Linked DNA regions of Yarrowia lipolytica. The protein of the gene in region 1 purifies or fractionates together with the protein of each later gene. This does not show direct contact. Links are inferred from orthologs where the notes say so. Each region holds a gene or a part of one and is shown on either strand. Other genes may lie near its edges. The genes, in order: YALI1_B21714g, YALI1_F19106g, YALI1_E06882g and YALI1_D11151g.

Evidence for each region.
Region 2: the proteins of YALI1_B21714g (region 1) and YALI1_F19106g purify together in Saccharomyces cerevisiae (affinity purification with mass spectrometry; 6 studies listed by BioGRID). This does not show direct contact. The link is inferred for Yarrowia lipolytica from reciprocal best matches to the Saccharomyces cerevisiae genes NSA1 and NOP15.
Region 3: the proteins of YALI1_B21714g (region 1) and YALI1_E06882g purify together in Saccharomyces cerevisiae (affinity purification with mass spectrometry; 6 studies listed by BioGRID, with this or other methods). This does not show direct contact. The link is inferred for Yarrowia lipolytica from reciprocal best matches to the Saccharomyces cerevisiae genes NSA1 and EBP2.
Region 4: the proteins of YALI1_B21714g (region 1) and YALI1_D11151g purify together in Saccharomyces cerevisiae (affinity purification with mass spectrometry; 4 studies listed by BioGRID). This does not show direct contact. The link is inferred for Yarrowia lipolytica from reciprocal best matches to the Saccharomyces cerevisiae genes NSA1 and RRP1.

Annotation. Positions count from the first base shown.
Region 1 is NC_090771.1:2,169,498-2,173,183, forward strand, and holds YALI1_B21714g (uncharacterized protein), read left to right. Parts: upstream 1-1,911; coding exon 1,912-3,144; downstream 3,145-3,686. Other genes in the region: YALI1_B21675g (uncharacterized protein), read left to right, coding at 1-1,346. UniProt on the Saccharomyces cerevisiae protein: Involved in the biogenesis of the 60S ribosomal subunit.
Region 2 is NC_090775.1:1,908,658-1,911,953, reverse strand, and holds YALI1_F19106g (uncharacterized protein), read right to left. Parts: upstream 1,351-3,296; coding exon 523-1,350; downstream 1-522. Other genes in the region: YALI1_F19126g (uncharacterized protein), read left to right, coding at 1-207; YALI1_F19090g (uncharacterized protein), read right to left, coding at 1,782-2,891. UniProt on the Saccharomyces cerevisiae protein: Involved in the biogenesis of the 60S ribosomal subunit. Required for pre-rRNA processing and cytokinesis. Associates with the precursors of the 25S and 5.8S rRNAs.
Region 3 is NC_090774.1:686,716-689,976, forward strand, and holds YALI1_E06882g (uncharacterized protein), read left to right. Parts: upstream 1-1,567; coding exon 1,568-2,734; downstream 2,735-3,261. UniProt on the Saccharomyces cerevisiae protein: Required for the processing of the 27S pre-rRNA. Probably involved in the step of the processing of the 27 SA precursor into the 27 SB intermediate.
Region 4 is NC_090773.1:1,113,760-1,116,992, reverse strand, and holds YALI1_D11151g (uncharacterized protein), read left to right. Parts: upstream 1-1,820; coding exon 1,821-2,699; downstream 2,700-3,233. Other genes in the region: YALI1_D11159g (uncharacterized protein), read right to left, coding at 1-1,017. UniProt on the Saccharomyces cerevisiae protein: Required for 27S rRNA processing to 25S and 5.8S.

The DNA.
Region 1 (3,686 bases):
TCCAGACAGAGGCTCATGACTTCCAGCACGACAACCAGCTGCATCCTCAGCTGACGCAAATTCGAAACCTCGCACAGACCCAGCAGGTCCATGCCATGCATCAGCTGCTGCCCCAGTACCAGGGTATGGCTCAGGTCCCCAGCCAGGCTTCTCTGCAGCAGCATTATCCTGTGCAGCAGCAACATCATCCTGGTGTCCCTCAGACCCCGAAGCCCATGTCCATTCTTGAACAGATGGCTGCCCAGCAACAGGCTGCTCGAATGACCCCCATGACTCAGAGTAACTTCTACGTGAGCCCCATTCAGCCCTTATCTCCTGTTCAACGACAGATGGCCCAGACTCCTCAGATGTCTCTTCTGGAGCAGCTCCAGGCTGCCGGTCGACAGACCCCCCAAGTACACTACTCACCCGTTCTGTCTCCTGTTCAGCAGCACACTCCTGTTGGTAGCATGACTCCTGTTCAGGGCCAATACACTCCTCAACAGGTGGCTCAGTATCAGCTGATGGAGCAGCTCAGCCAGCTTCAGCAGCAGCAGGCTTCTCAGGCCCAGAATACCCAGCACTACCAGGTATCCCAGGCTCAGGCGCAAGCTATTGCCCAGCAGCAAGCTGCCGCCCAGTATCAGGCCGCTGCCCAATATCAGGCTGCCGCCCAGTATCAGTATCAGCAGATGGCTGCTCTTGAACAGCAGCTCGTTGCTCAACAACAGGCCCAACTTCAGGCTCAGGCTCAAGCGCAGGCCCAGGCCCGAGCACAGGCCCAGGCTCAGGCCCAGGCTCAGACCCAGGCTCAGTATGTTGCTGAGCAGCAGGCCCAGCAGCAGGCCCAGCAGCAGGCCCAGCAGCAACTCGCAGCCCAACAGCAGGCTCAGCAGCAGGCCCTGTTGCAGCAGCACCAGAACCAACAGCTTTCGCAGTTGCAGCAGTTGTCACAACTGGAGCAGCTCCATATGCAGCAGCAGGAGCAGATGGCTAAGATGGCTGCCTCGCAACTCACCCCCACATCCATGTCGCCTTCTCAAATGTCGGTGGCTTCCTTCCCCGACCTGGGAGTTCCTCATCCGGCCATGTCCCGAAAGGCGTCGGAGTCCTCACTCAATTCCGCCTCTTCGTCAACTGAGAACAACTCGTTGAACGACCTGTTCAACCAGATCACTCAGCAGGCATCCAATACTTCTTATTCATCGGCCCAACAGAGTCTCCTGGGTCATCGATCCACCCATTCCGGTGTCTCTGGCATTTTCCACCCCCGTCAGGCCAAGGGAAGAAGCCCCGTTGAGAAGACCGGTTTCCCCATCGGACACTCTCCTAGCACTTCCGTCAACTCAGCTAATAATTCTTTTTAGGAGTATCTAACTTATTATCATTATGTATTATGCCCATGTCTTGTAGACTTGCCTTGTTTATACATGAGCCATATACTTGTAGAAACCAGCCATGGGGGGCACAAAGCCTGTAATATCCTATCGCATATGTGCCATTCGTGCTTGTTCCCATCAATAAGAAAGTTGACAGTCACAGGGAACAGCGAGGACAGCGTCTGTCTCAGATGGTGTTCGGAGTGGCCCATCTGTCAAGCTGACTTCATGACAACAAATATGTCAAGTACAAGTAAGGTAATACTCGTTAATTTGTACAATTATCGACTTATTTAAGAAGTTCTTTCCTGCTCAACGGGTGAAGAAAAGTGTTCAAAAGTAAATCATCTTGGTGGCAATTCAGAAAGCTGCCCCCCTCCTCCCCCCGTGTAATTCAACAATAATCGGAGTCACCATTTTCTCTTTGTATCACAGCCCCCTCTACTTATTCGCTTCGCTCAAGACCGACTGCAGAAACTCTAAAAAAATTCATGCACGCAGTCTGACAACATCGTATCTCGAGCAAAGTCTGGGAATCACATTACAGTACACAATGAAGATTTTTCTGGCCGCCGAAGATACTGGAGCAATCAAAGAAGTTGTTTTTGACGAGGGAATGGACACCTCGGTCCAGGACGGACCTCAGCCCCTCATCACATCCTTCGCTGCTCTTGGTAAACTGAAGCACATTCAAAAGCTGGCCCTGGTCACCACATCAAAGGGCACCAAATACATTGCTGCCGCGCGAAAGAACGGTACCATTGAAGTCTACCCATACCTTTTGACCGAGGAGTCGACTCCGATTTTCGTCTACTCTGCTGAGGGGGCAGAAAAATGTCCCTGGATTGGTCTTACCCAGTATGACGACAATACTGTGGTTGCCGGTCTGGAAGATGGTCGACTCTTTTTCCTCGATGTTTCGAAGGTCACCATTGAGTCCGACAAGCCATACGACGCCCCCACTGCCTCTGTCAAGGGCCCCTTGGCATGCTTCGCTCTGGACAGGGAGCTGTATCCTGGCAAGATTGCCGTGGGTGGAAAGGAGCGAGATTTGGAGGTGTTTGGATGGGCTGTTAAAGGTGACGAAGTCACCGTGAGATCCGAGTTTCAGGCCCGAAATGTCAAGTCCAACGAAATCGATATGCGGGTGCCGGTGTGGATTTCTGGAATTCTTTTCCAGGCTTCTGACAAGGATGGATTCAGAGTCATCACTGCCACCAGACATGGACAGATCAGAGTGTATGAGACATGGCATGGAAAGCGACCGAAGTGGGACTTCAAGGTGACAAAGGATCCTCTGCGAACCTTGGCACCCGGTATGGATGCCTCCAACGTCGTCTCTTCAGATGCCCACTCCTCTACGTTCAAGTTCAACTTTGCAGACAATGAGAAGATTGTACTGAAAAACAAAGACAACAACCAGAACAAGGAACACAACAGAAAGTCTCCCTGTGTCGTCGAGAAGTTCCCCGGATCTCTCGGTGCCGTTTTGCATTTAGTTACCACCGACAATGGTTTGTTGGCTACCGTTGGTCTTGACCGATACCTTCGAATTTTTGATCTCGAGACCACCGAGTGCACTGCAAAGATGTTCGTGGGTACCCAAGTGTCCTCTCTGCTTTTCGTGGATACCGAGCGAAAGACAGCCCAGGAAAAGCATGTGGAGGAAACAGCTGAGAAGGAGGATGACGAGCTGTGGAACGATCTAGACAAGGTCGAGAAGAAGAGCAACAAGAGAAGGGTCGCTGGCAACGACGAGGGCAAGAAGAAGCTCAAGTCGGCGTAGATGTAATTAATGTATTATAAGATTTAGAAGCAGTGTCTTCAGAACCAGAACAACCAAAAGGAAGTGCAGTAAGAGCGAATTTCATAAAGATAGAATATGGTCACAACCATCGAGACTCAGAGAGCGTGGGTATTGTACATCATAGCAGGTCTGGTATCTTACATGTGGCAAATCTAAAACTGTCTTCCAGGGAGTTTTGCGATGGGAATCAAACGATGAAACATATTCATCGTGTCATTTGTGTCACCAAACATGTCAGAGAACGGATGTGTCAGCACTACTCGCACATCACTAGCACTTTTACAGTAATTAGTAGTGTACCCAATAGTATATACTTTAATTTACAGTATCTGTACCGCCGTAGTTGGTTTATGAACGTACTGTAGTTGTAACGCACACAGACTCAACTGACCATTCTGCAAGCTCGGGCTGACGTTGAAGAATATCCCCTGTTTGTCTCACATTTTAATATCTTCGCTCTCGAAACTGTATGTGAGTTTGATGTACGTAGTCTCAGGATGTGCCACATTCCTATAATTATA
Region 2 (3,296 bases), on another chromosome or scaffold:
CAGCAGCAACAGGGAGGGGACTTTGGAGGTTTTGGAAACATGCAGCAACAGACCAACAGCGGTTTTGGGAACATGCAACAGGCTAACAGCGGATTTGGCGGGTTTGGTGGAGCTCCTCAGCAGCAGAACAACGCTCACAACGACTGGGCCGATGCCGCCGCTCCCAAGAAGCAGGAGGATGACGTTTTTGCCAACGTCTGGAAATAATAATTTTAATACACTTAGCTAATAATTAGATATCGGTCATAGATCCATCAACCGTGAGCATTGAGCAGACCAATCCAGTAGCACCAAGCATCGAACAAAGGAGCCAGAGTAACGATAACTTGCGACATACGAATTACGTATCTACGCTCAAGACTGACTGTCCATGATTCCAACTACAAGATATAAAGCTCATTATTAATATTACAGGTTTATTAGACCTAACTAGTAGTAATATGTTTCCCCATAAATATACGAGACATGCAACAATAAGATAATTCCGACTCCAAGATCCAACATGAGACTTTTCTTTCTAAACTAAGCCAGAGAAGTTCTCTGCTTCTTCTTCTTTGCACCCTCGGCGACTCCGGCAGCAGCCTTCTTGGGCACTCGGACGTCAGAGACGGGGGTGTACTTGTAATCGATACCCATCTCACCAAGCTTCTTCAGCTTGGCATCGAGCAGAGATGCAGACTCTTTCTTGAGCTGGTCCCACTTTGCTCGGGATCGGGGTCTCTCATTCTTGTACTGAGCAACCTGAGCTCTTGGCAGGACTCGGAAAGTCTTGTTAGCTCCCTCAAAGAGAGCCTCGTGAACCTCATCGTCAGGAACAACCTTGCATTTAAGAATGTGGCCGAAGAGCAGGTAGTTGTTCATGGTCTCGGCAGCTACCTGGGCCACCTCCTTGGACTCGAACTCGATGAAGGCGTAATGCTTGGAGGCACCGGTAGTCTTGTTTCTGGAAAGACGCAGTCGAGAAATATCACCAAACTGGCTGAAATATGAGTGCATCTGCTCCTCGTAGAAACCATGGGGGATTCGACCCAGATAGATGACGCCGGTTCCAGACTTTTTGGATGCCTTTGTGGTAGCAGCAGCTCGATTGGACTTGGCTACTGCGGTCTTCTTGACGGTAGCAGGGGTATCATCCATAGTCTCATCCTCGTCATCTCCATTCTCAAACTCCTCTTCGTCGTCACTACTCTCAAATCCAGCCTCATCCTGTTCCTCGTCCTCCGAGGAAGAGAATTTGGAGAAATCGTCGGAGGTGGCGGGAGCAGCGACCTTAGTGGCGGTCTTAGACACTCCAACCTTCTTGGTTCCGTTGGAGGACTTGAGGCCCTTTTTTAATGCACTGGACTTCATGGTTGTGTTTGTGTGTATGAGAGAGGAAATCTGCACCTGTTACCTCACACAAAATATTTTTTTTTTACTGCTGGGACAGAATTTTTGCATAAGCTTCAATGCCGAAGCTTATCTGCAGCTGTGATACATTAAGAGTGAAGAGGCTGACTAAGCAATAAGGGTCATTATAGAGAGGAAAACAATAATGATGACAAAGATACTCGTACACTGTTACTCGTGTATTCACGACATCAACGATATGCCTCAGGGATGCTCCCGGATGATATGACTTATCAATAGCAGAAGTAACACTACAGGGAAACTAAAAATATATATACGCTACCACGTACACGAAAAACTATGAAATCAAAGCTACGATGGCAACATAATTTTGGTCTATTACTACCACGGATGGTGGATAAATTACTTTATAGAAGTACTCGTCGAGACTCTTACTTCTGGGCAGGGGGGGCGCCACCAGCGGTGGGGAGACCAACAATACCCTTGAAAGAGTCGTAGATGAGCCACTGGAGACCAGTGAGGGTACCGACCATGACGATTCGGACACCGAGACCGTTCCAGAGACCACCGAAGCCAATCTTCTTGTAGATTCGGGAGACGGCCTGGCCGGTGGACTCACCGGGCTGCTTCTCGGAGTTAATCTTGGAGACCATAACATCAGCGGGGTGGGAGACAATAGCACAGAAGACACCAGCAATGTAACCACCGAGGAAGGAGACACCAGTCTGGGCAAGGAAGGAGTAGTCCTTCTTGGGGTAGGGCAGGTAAGAGTAGATGAGCTCAACGGTTCGCTCGAAAGTAGCGAACTTAACCATGGTGTAGGGAACCTGTCGGGCCCAGAGGGGGGTAAGACCCTTGTAGAGGCCGGCAACACCCTCAGCGGCGACCATCTTCTTCATACCATCGAAAGCACCGGTAGCGAAGGGGGGGATGGTGGTCTGGGTCTTGACCTTGACGGCCTCCCAGGGACAGAGCAGAATATCAGCGAGAACCTCAGCGGAGGCGGAGGCAGCGAGGTAGACAAAGGTCTTGTACTTCTCGGCGTTCTCGGCGCCAACGAAGTCACCGTACTTCTTCTTGAACAGCTCGTAGAAACCGTACTTACCAGCACCCTGGAGAGAGTAACCGATAAGAGTGGCACCGACACCGGTCCAGATACCACCCATACCCTCAGAGGCAATGATGGATCTCCAGGCCTGCATGTTGGAGGAGTAGAGAGCGGGGTTCACCTGTCGTCGGCACTTGACGAGATCAAGAGGGGTGACGAGAGCGTGGGTAACACCACAGGCGAGCATACCACCGGCAACACAGGTGGCGTAGAACTCAGGGGAGTAGAGCTTGATGCCCTTGGCCTTCTGGGCCTTGATGGCATCGCCGGCCTTAGCGACCTCGGCCTTAGCATCAGAGACGAGAGCGTCAGCCTTCTTCTCGACCTTCTCGACGGTCTTGTCGAGAGAAGATCGGACGTTGAAAGCACCAGCACGGGCGCCGTTGGGGTCGAAGGAGGCCTGAATGGCGGAAACAGATGGGAAGAGAGCCATTGTGGTGATTTGATTCAGACTACTGATGGAGAAAAGGAAAACCCGGGAGGAAGGGATGACGAGAAAATAGGAAAAGCTGGAACCCTAAATTTGACCCAATAACAACGCGAGTTGAATTTACCTTGTCCAATCCAGAGCTTATTTTCAGCAAATCGGTAGTTGCACACAGGGAAAGAGACCACGCGGACCGTTCAACATCACATAATGATGCGATTGGAAATTGGAGCACTGGCAATTGGTTCTCGTTGGGTCAATTGAACAATCCGGATATTCCGAACACCGTTTTCATTGCCCATTGAGCCATTTTTGCATGTACTATGGATCTAATGCACCTGGTGGCTGACGTATCCATTTTTCAGAGTTTGGGTGGTTTTCTGCATAGCTCTCGGTTCTGAAGCAATTTGG
Region 3 (3,261 bases), on another chromosome or scaffold:
GATCCATATGATAGGAATATATCGTACGATACTGGATGGCGCTACCAGTTCTATACGAGCAGTGAGTGCTACAAGTGGTATTAGTATCACTGTGGCCATTAATTGGTGTCGGTTCTGTACATACAATGCCTCTATTGTTGGTTTTGTCAGCAGAGGTACTTTTTTGCAGCAAAACACTCTCTGATTGCACTCTGTCTGCACTCTGTTTGCACTGGGTAAGTGCTTTTCTCGTAAAGCTGATAAGGTGCTTTTGCCACGCTTTTTCAGCACCCCCATATTCTTGTCTATTTCCTTTTTGCAAACCCAGACTCAATATCTGCCAATATGGTGACAGGCATGGTGCATACGTACAGTATGTACCAGTTTTGCAGTTCAGTACGATCGTTAGATAGAGCACAATTGTATCACGGTGTCTTGCCGTGGAAAAGGTACGGAAACAAGGTGAATCTATTATTTATGATTGAACGGGGCTGCCGAATCGATATCTGGACTCCACATTGAGACCCCACTAGTTTACGTTCCCTGCTACATACTGTAAGCCAGTCTTCCTGAAATCATCGTTGCCAGCCTTTGCCCCAACTATATGCACTCCCTCAGTTCATCATATTCAAGAAAAATCACTCACAAATTCCCTCTTTGATGGTATTTCTTTTTTCGGGCCGCCATAAGGCGCAAACGGCCATCGACATTACAAGACACAGGGCTTGGTACTCGATGATAATTCTAACCTAATAAGACGAGATAGACGGCAAATTGAGTCTTTACGGCTGCTGAAGAGTTTGTTACTTGTGTGAGTGGGTAGATGCTTGCGGCACTGCAGCTACAGAGAAGTTATTTGCTGAGTGGTGCATTCCATCTTGCCATCTTCTGGAAACTACGATCTTATCTACAAGTAGTGATCTCTTTGTATTCAAGTTGATCTTTTTTGCGGGACCTATCAAGGTCAACTCTACCTGAATCAACTGTTGACCTCCATCCTACATCAGTGCCCATGTATGTAATAATTCATCACCAGCTTCTCCGATCAGAATCATTTGTATCGTCGGTGTTCAACAGATGCGTCTAGCTGGTTAAAGCTCGTATTACAGTATTGATTTACCTGGTGTGACTTCTTGGCAGGGCTCTTTGATCTATTTTCAACTTCACCACTTATTAATTTATCGCTATGTATTTTTTTCAAATATTTTCCAATTTCTCCCGTTAATTTGAGAAATAAAACCCCCCGCTTAATCATCTCTAAATCATGGCTCAAGTTTTTATCAAGGTGCATTAAGTTCAACGGGCAGGCGCTACTTGGAGGCGAAGAATAATTGAAAACAAATGTACTTGCTATTCTAATAAAAATACAGTAAAAATAATATTAAACATTTCATATCAATAATTGCAACCAGTAATTCGTTACATTTCAAATGTTTTCTCCCTTAAGAATCTCTTAAGAACAAGAACCAGTTAATCCTGTGCCTTCTCAGCTCCAAACTCTATCTGAAAAGTTTCTGGTTTTCCAAAAAAATTCCTCCCGTGCATAGTCTTATTTCCCACCCACCACACACACACACACGAACACACAATGGGAGCCCCCAAGTTGAAGGATTCTCTCAAGGCCGCTAAGGCCAACGACAAGGCCGCCAAGCTGACTGCCAAAAAGGGCGTTCTTCCCAAGCCCAAGGACCTGGCAGTAGTTGCCAAGCAGCAGATTGCGCACGAGGACGATGGAGATGATGAGGAGGACGAAGATGATGAAGAGGAAGACGAGGAGGACGAGGAGGACGAGGAGGACGAGGACAAGACTCCTGTTCTGTCTCGAAAGGAGGCTCGAAAGATGAAGAAGCTTGCTGCTGCTGCTGCTGCTGCCGAGGAGGACGATGATGAGGAAGACGATGATGAGGTTCCCCAGCTTTACGACACCACCCGTCTCGATCTGTCCGAGTCCGAATCCGAGATTGAGAATGTCGAGAACGAGGTGGAGGACATTCCCCTGTCTGATGTGGAGCTCGATTCCGACAACGACGCCATCCCCTACCAGAAGGTGACCAAGAACAACAAGCCTGCCCTGATGCAGGCCAAGGCTCGAATCTCGTTGCCCTACGCCAAAATGACCTTTGTCGACACCCTTGTGCATACGTCTGGAGCCATCGAGCTCAAGGACATCTACGACGACATGGAGAAGGAGCTGGCGTTCTACAAGCAGGGTCTGGATGCTGCCAAGGTGGCTCGAAAGGAGCTGCTCAAGGCCAAGGTTCCGTTTACCCGACCTCTGGACTACTTTGCCGAGATGGTCAAGTCCGACGAACACATGGAGAAGCTCAAGCAGAAGCTGATCGAGGAAGCCACCTCCAAGAAGGCTTCCGAGGAGGCACGACGACAGCGAGACCTCAAGAAGTTTGGTAAGAAGGTGCAGCACAACAAGCTGCAGGAGCGAGCCAAGGACAAGAAGGAGACTCTGGAAAAGATCAAGTCCTTGAAGCGAAAACGAGCTGGCCAGGAGATGACCTCCGAGGAGTTTGACATTGCCGTCGAGGAGGCGGCTGCCGACAACCATAATATTGAGGGCAAGAACCACAAGAGACAGGCCAAGGATGCCAAATTTGGATTCGGTGGCAAGAAGCGATTCCGAAAGGCCAACACCTCCGAGAGCTCGGGCGACCTGTCGGGCTTCAACCAGAAGAGAAATAACGCTCCTGTTAAGAAGCGTCAGCAGTCGAGACCCGGCAAGAGTCGACGAAACCGGGGTTAGAACAGGAAGGTAAAAGGAACTGATTATTCAGAGGTAATAGATTGAATGTTGAACTTATTACACGTGTACGAGTAGCATACCCACTGTAGATCTGCAAAGCTAGATGAGGTTGAAAACGTAAATACTGTAGCGACGAGATAGCGAAGATGATTTGATAGGGTACAATAGCGAGTACGAGCACAAGTACCCAGTGTGTGATCTACATTGAAGGGGTATAACTTAAGCTACAAGTACAAGTACAAGTACCGGTATAATGAGGTGGGGTCCATTTGTGTATGTGTACGTATTACTAAGTCAACATGTCAACATACAAGTACATCTTGTACTAGAACATACTGCAATGTTTCACAGTGTAATCTGACTCCAATGTGATACAGTGATGGAGATGTGACTCAGCTGTGGCTCAAGCCCTGACACCGACAATAGACATAGAGTCATGCTTTTGACTGACACTTTGCACCATGACCAACCTTTTGCCCACCTAACGACTTGTGCTGGATAACACAGGCCACGCACCAGAGCACCAG
Region 4 (3,233 bases), on another chromosome or scaffold:
CATGCCCTCGATGAGAACGGGCTTCTGGTCTCTGAGAGCGATTTCTCGGGCCTTCTTGGTGGCTCGATGCACGGCGAAAATGTCGTTTCCGTCCACTCGAATTGTCTCAATGCCGTAACCAATAGCCCGGGACGCAATACCGTCTCCCTTGTACTGTTCAATGGCAGAAGTAGAGATGGCATAGCCGTTGTTTCGACAGAAGTAGATGACGGGACAGTTTCGAGTAGCAGCAATGTTGAGAGCGGCATGGAAATCACCCTCGGAGGCAGCTCCCTCACCCATGTAGCACAGGGTGACTCCATCGACGCCAGCCATCTTCTGAGCGTAGGCTGTTCCAGCAGCGTGAGGCAGCTGGGTGGCCAGAGGAGACGAAATGGTATGCATGTTGAGCTCTCTGGAGCCATAATGCACCGGCATGTTTCTTCCCTTGCCCTGGTCGTGTTTGTTTCCATAGAGCTGGTTCATGAAGTCGTCCAGAGTGAATCCTCGATACATGTACGCTCCCTGCTCTCTGTACTGGGAGTAGACATGATCCTGAGGCTTGAGGGCGGCTGCTGAGCCCACAGCCATACCTTCCTCTCCCGCGGAAACCATGTAGAAGGACAGACGGCCCTGTCTCTGTGCGTCAAACATGATGGCGTCCATGATGCTCACAGTCACCATGTCCTTGTACATTTTGAGAATGGTGTCGACGGGCAGATCAATCTTGTACGACTTGTCAATCTGCACGCCATCGGGCCCTACTACTCGGTAAGTAGGCATGGAATCCTGGGTCGTGGGGTCCACAAAAGTCATGTTGTTGACAAACGACGTTCGCAGAGCTCCGGGGAACACAAGCTCGCCATTCTGAACAATGGGCTTCTCGACCTCCGCCCGCTCAGTGGGTTTAGTGGTCGACACGTGTCGCACAGACACAAACTGGGTCTTATGGACATGTTTTTGGAGACCAGTTCTCAGAGTCCGAGTACTGGAAAGAGCCTGTCTCAAACAGGCGTGGTTGGAAACGGCTCGAAGCATGACGGGTCTAGTTGTATTCACACAAATGTCGACGTGGTCAGTGGAAGAGTGTCGTAAGATGTCGCGGGGTCTCAGCTGGCTTATAACCCACTACACTTTTTAGGTCCCGGCAATAGATGGTTTTGTGGGGGAGCCTGCATTGGGCATCTGGGTTAGGGCAGGAGATGCGCGTCGATATCCGAACCGTACATACTGCTGGGCGAGGTTATGTGAGATTCGGGGAATACGCGGGCCCCAGATGTTGGCTTGAGTGAGGGCAGTCACGTGGATGGGGTCACGTGAGAGCGAGTGGGCAGATCGGTCTGTTCGCTCCTCCTACGCGGTTGATTCTTTGGCTAGTACCACGGTAGCGACGATATTGTAGCAGTGTAGGCTCCCATGCCGTTGAGCTTTTTTCGCCTTTTTGGGGGGATTTTGTGGGGACACCGTTTGTTGTATTTTTAGAGTTTTAAAAATGGGTGAGTGATAGGGGACAACAGGTTAGTTGGGACTTTAGTTGTGGTTTAGTTGAGGTTTAGTTGAGGGTAAGGGGGTAGTATAGTCTCGAGAAATAGGAAGAGTTGGCCTATTAATATTTATAACACTTTTTGAGGCTTCTAGTGTTGCAAGGACTTTGTCGTTCCTTCGATACCCGCTCTATTGCTGTGATTTACTGCTACCACCATGGGACTCGAACTGAGGTCGCCTGCAACTTTGCCTTTTTCATGCTTCTCTCAAGCAGCACTAAAAAATTTCGAGCTGCAGTGATTGAAAAAATATAGAGGTGCATACAATCCAAACCACCACAAGACACTACAACTACAATGGCTGCTGGCAAAGTGAAAAAGGGGTCCAAGAAGGCCGCCATCAAGGCAGATAAGCCCTACTCTAAGAAGGAAGACAACTCCGCGGATGATATCCAGCTCGGAAGCCCCGATGCTTACCCGTTTATCAAGAAGCTGGCTGCCAATGACCGACCCACTCGAGACGAGACTCTCAACTCGCTCAAGCGGTTCCTGGGAACCCCCAAGGCCTTTGGTGAGCTCGAACTGCTTAAGCTGTGGAAGGGTCTGTTCTTCTCCATGTGGTTCAGCGACCGACCTCGAACACAGCAGCGTCTGGCCGACGACATGGCTTCTCTGCTGCTGGTTGTCCACGAGACCAACTACTTCACATTCCTGGCTTCTTTCTGGAAGATTATGAGCGCCGAGTGGCTCGCGCTAGACAAGCACCGAATCGACAAGTTTTACCTGCTGCTTAGACGGTACGTGGGCTTCGCCTTCCAGCGACTTGCCAAGGAGGACTGGGACGAGACCTGGATCGAGCGACACAATGAGGTGATGAGCAAGATCCCTCTCAACCCCGAAAACCCCAAGATCCCCGACAGTATTCGGTACCACGTGCTGGAAATCTATCTAGAAGAGCTGGCCAAGGTGGTGCTCAAGGACAAGAAGGAGGCCGAGAACGAGGAAGAGGAGGCCGAGCTGGTCAAGGAGCTGTTTGCCGACGTTCCCGTTTCCGAGCTTCTCGAGGCAGTCGAGACTCTGTCCGAGGAGACCAAAAACTCGGTCGTTCAGAAGCGATGTGTGGAGGACGTGCTCGAGAACCCTCTGCTCATCGAGTGGGGTGTTGCCGAGGAGCTCGAGGGCGCTGGCGAGGAGGACGAGGAGGACGAGGAGGACGAGTGGGCTGGGTTTGTTTAAACCCGAGTCTCCGACCATAGCTATCTGGCTCCAAATGGTTTCCCTATAGAACATCACCAAGGATCTAGCAAGCAGTATACGGATACTAGAGATCCATCCATAAAAGACATAGACATATATTTAATATTCACGTACAGATAGTTGTTAGGCGCAGAAAGGAGGTCGTAAGCGATGGTAGAGTGGACAGGGCTTAAAGGCGTACAATTACAGCATGTAGATATATCTTCATTGAGGAGAACAAACTGGCTACAGTAGGTACACACTGTACACACTCTAACCTTCTGTTTCATTGTGGACCAAGAAATGGACATATTCCAGGTTTGCGATACAACTTCTCACGCTCCAATAAGCAAAGAAAGAAGCATTCTCACATTTAGTGGAGCACACAATTCGCTGGCAGTAGAGTGTCCGACAGTCACTCTCTACAAGAAGTCCGCACTTGTCAAGTTATCTTTTTATACTGGTTACAATGGACTAACCCGTGTTCACAATTGGATCTCTTTTTTATTTATATATGATCTCAGTTGAAGACAG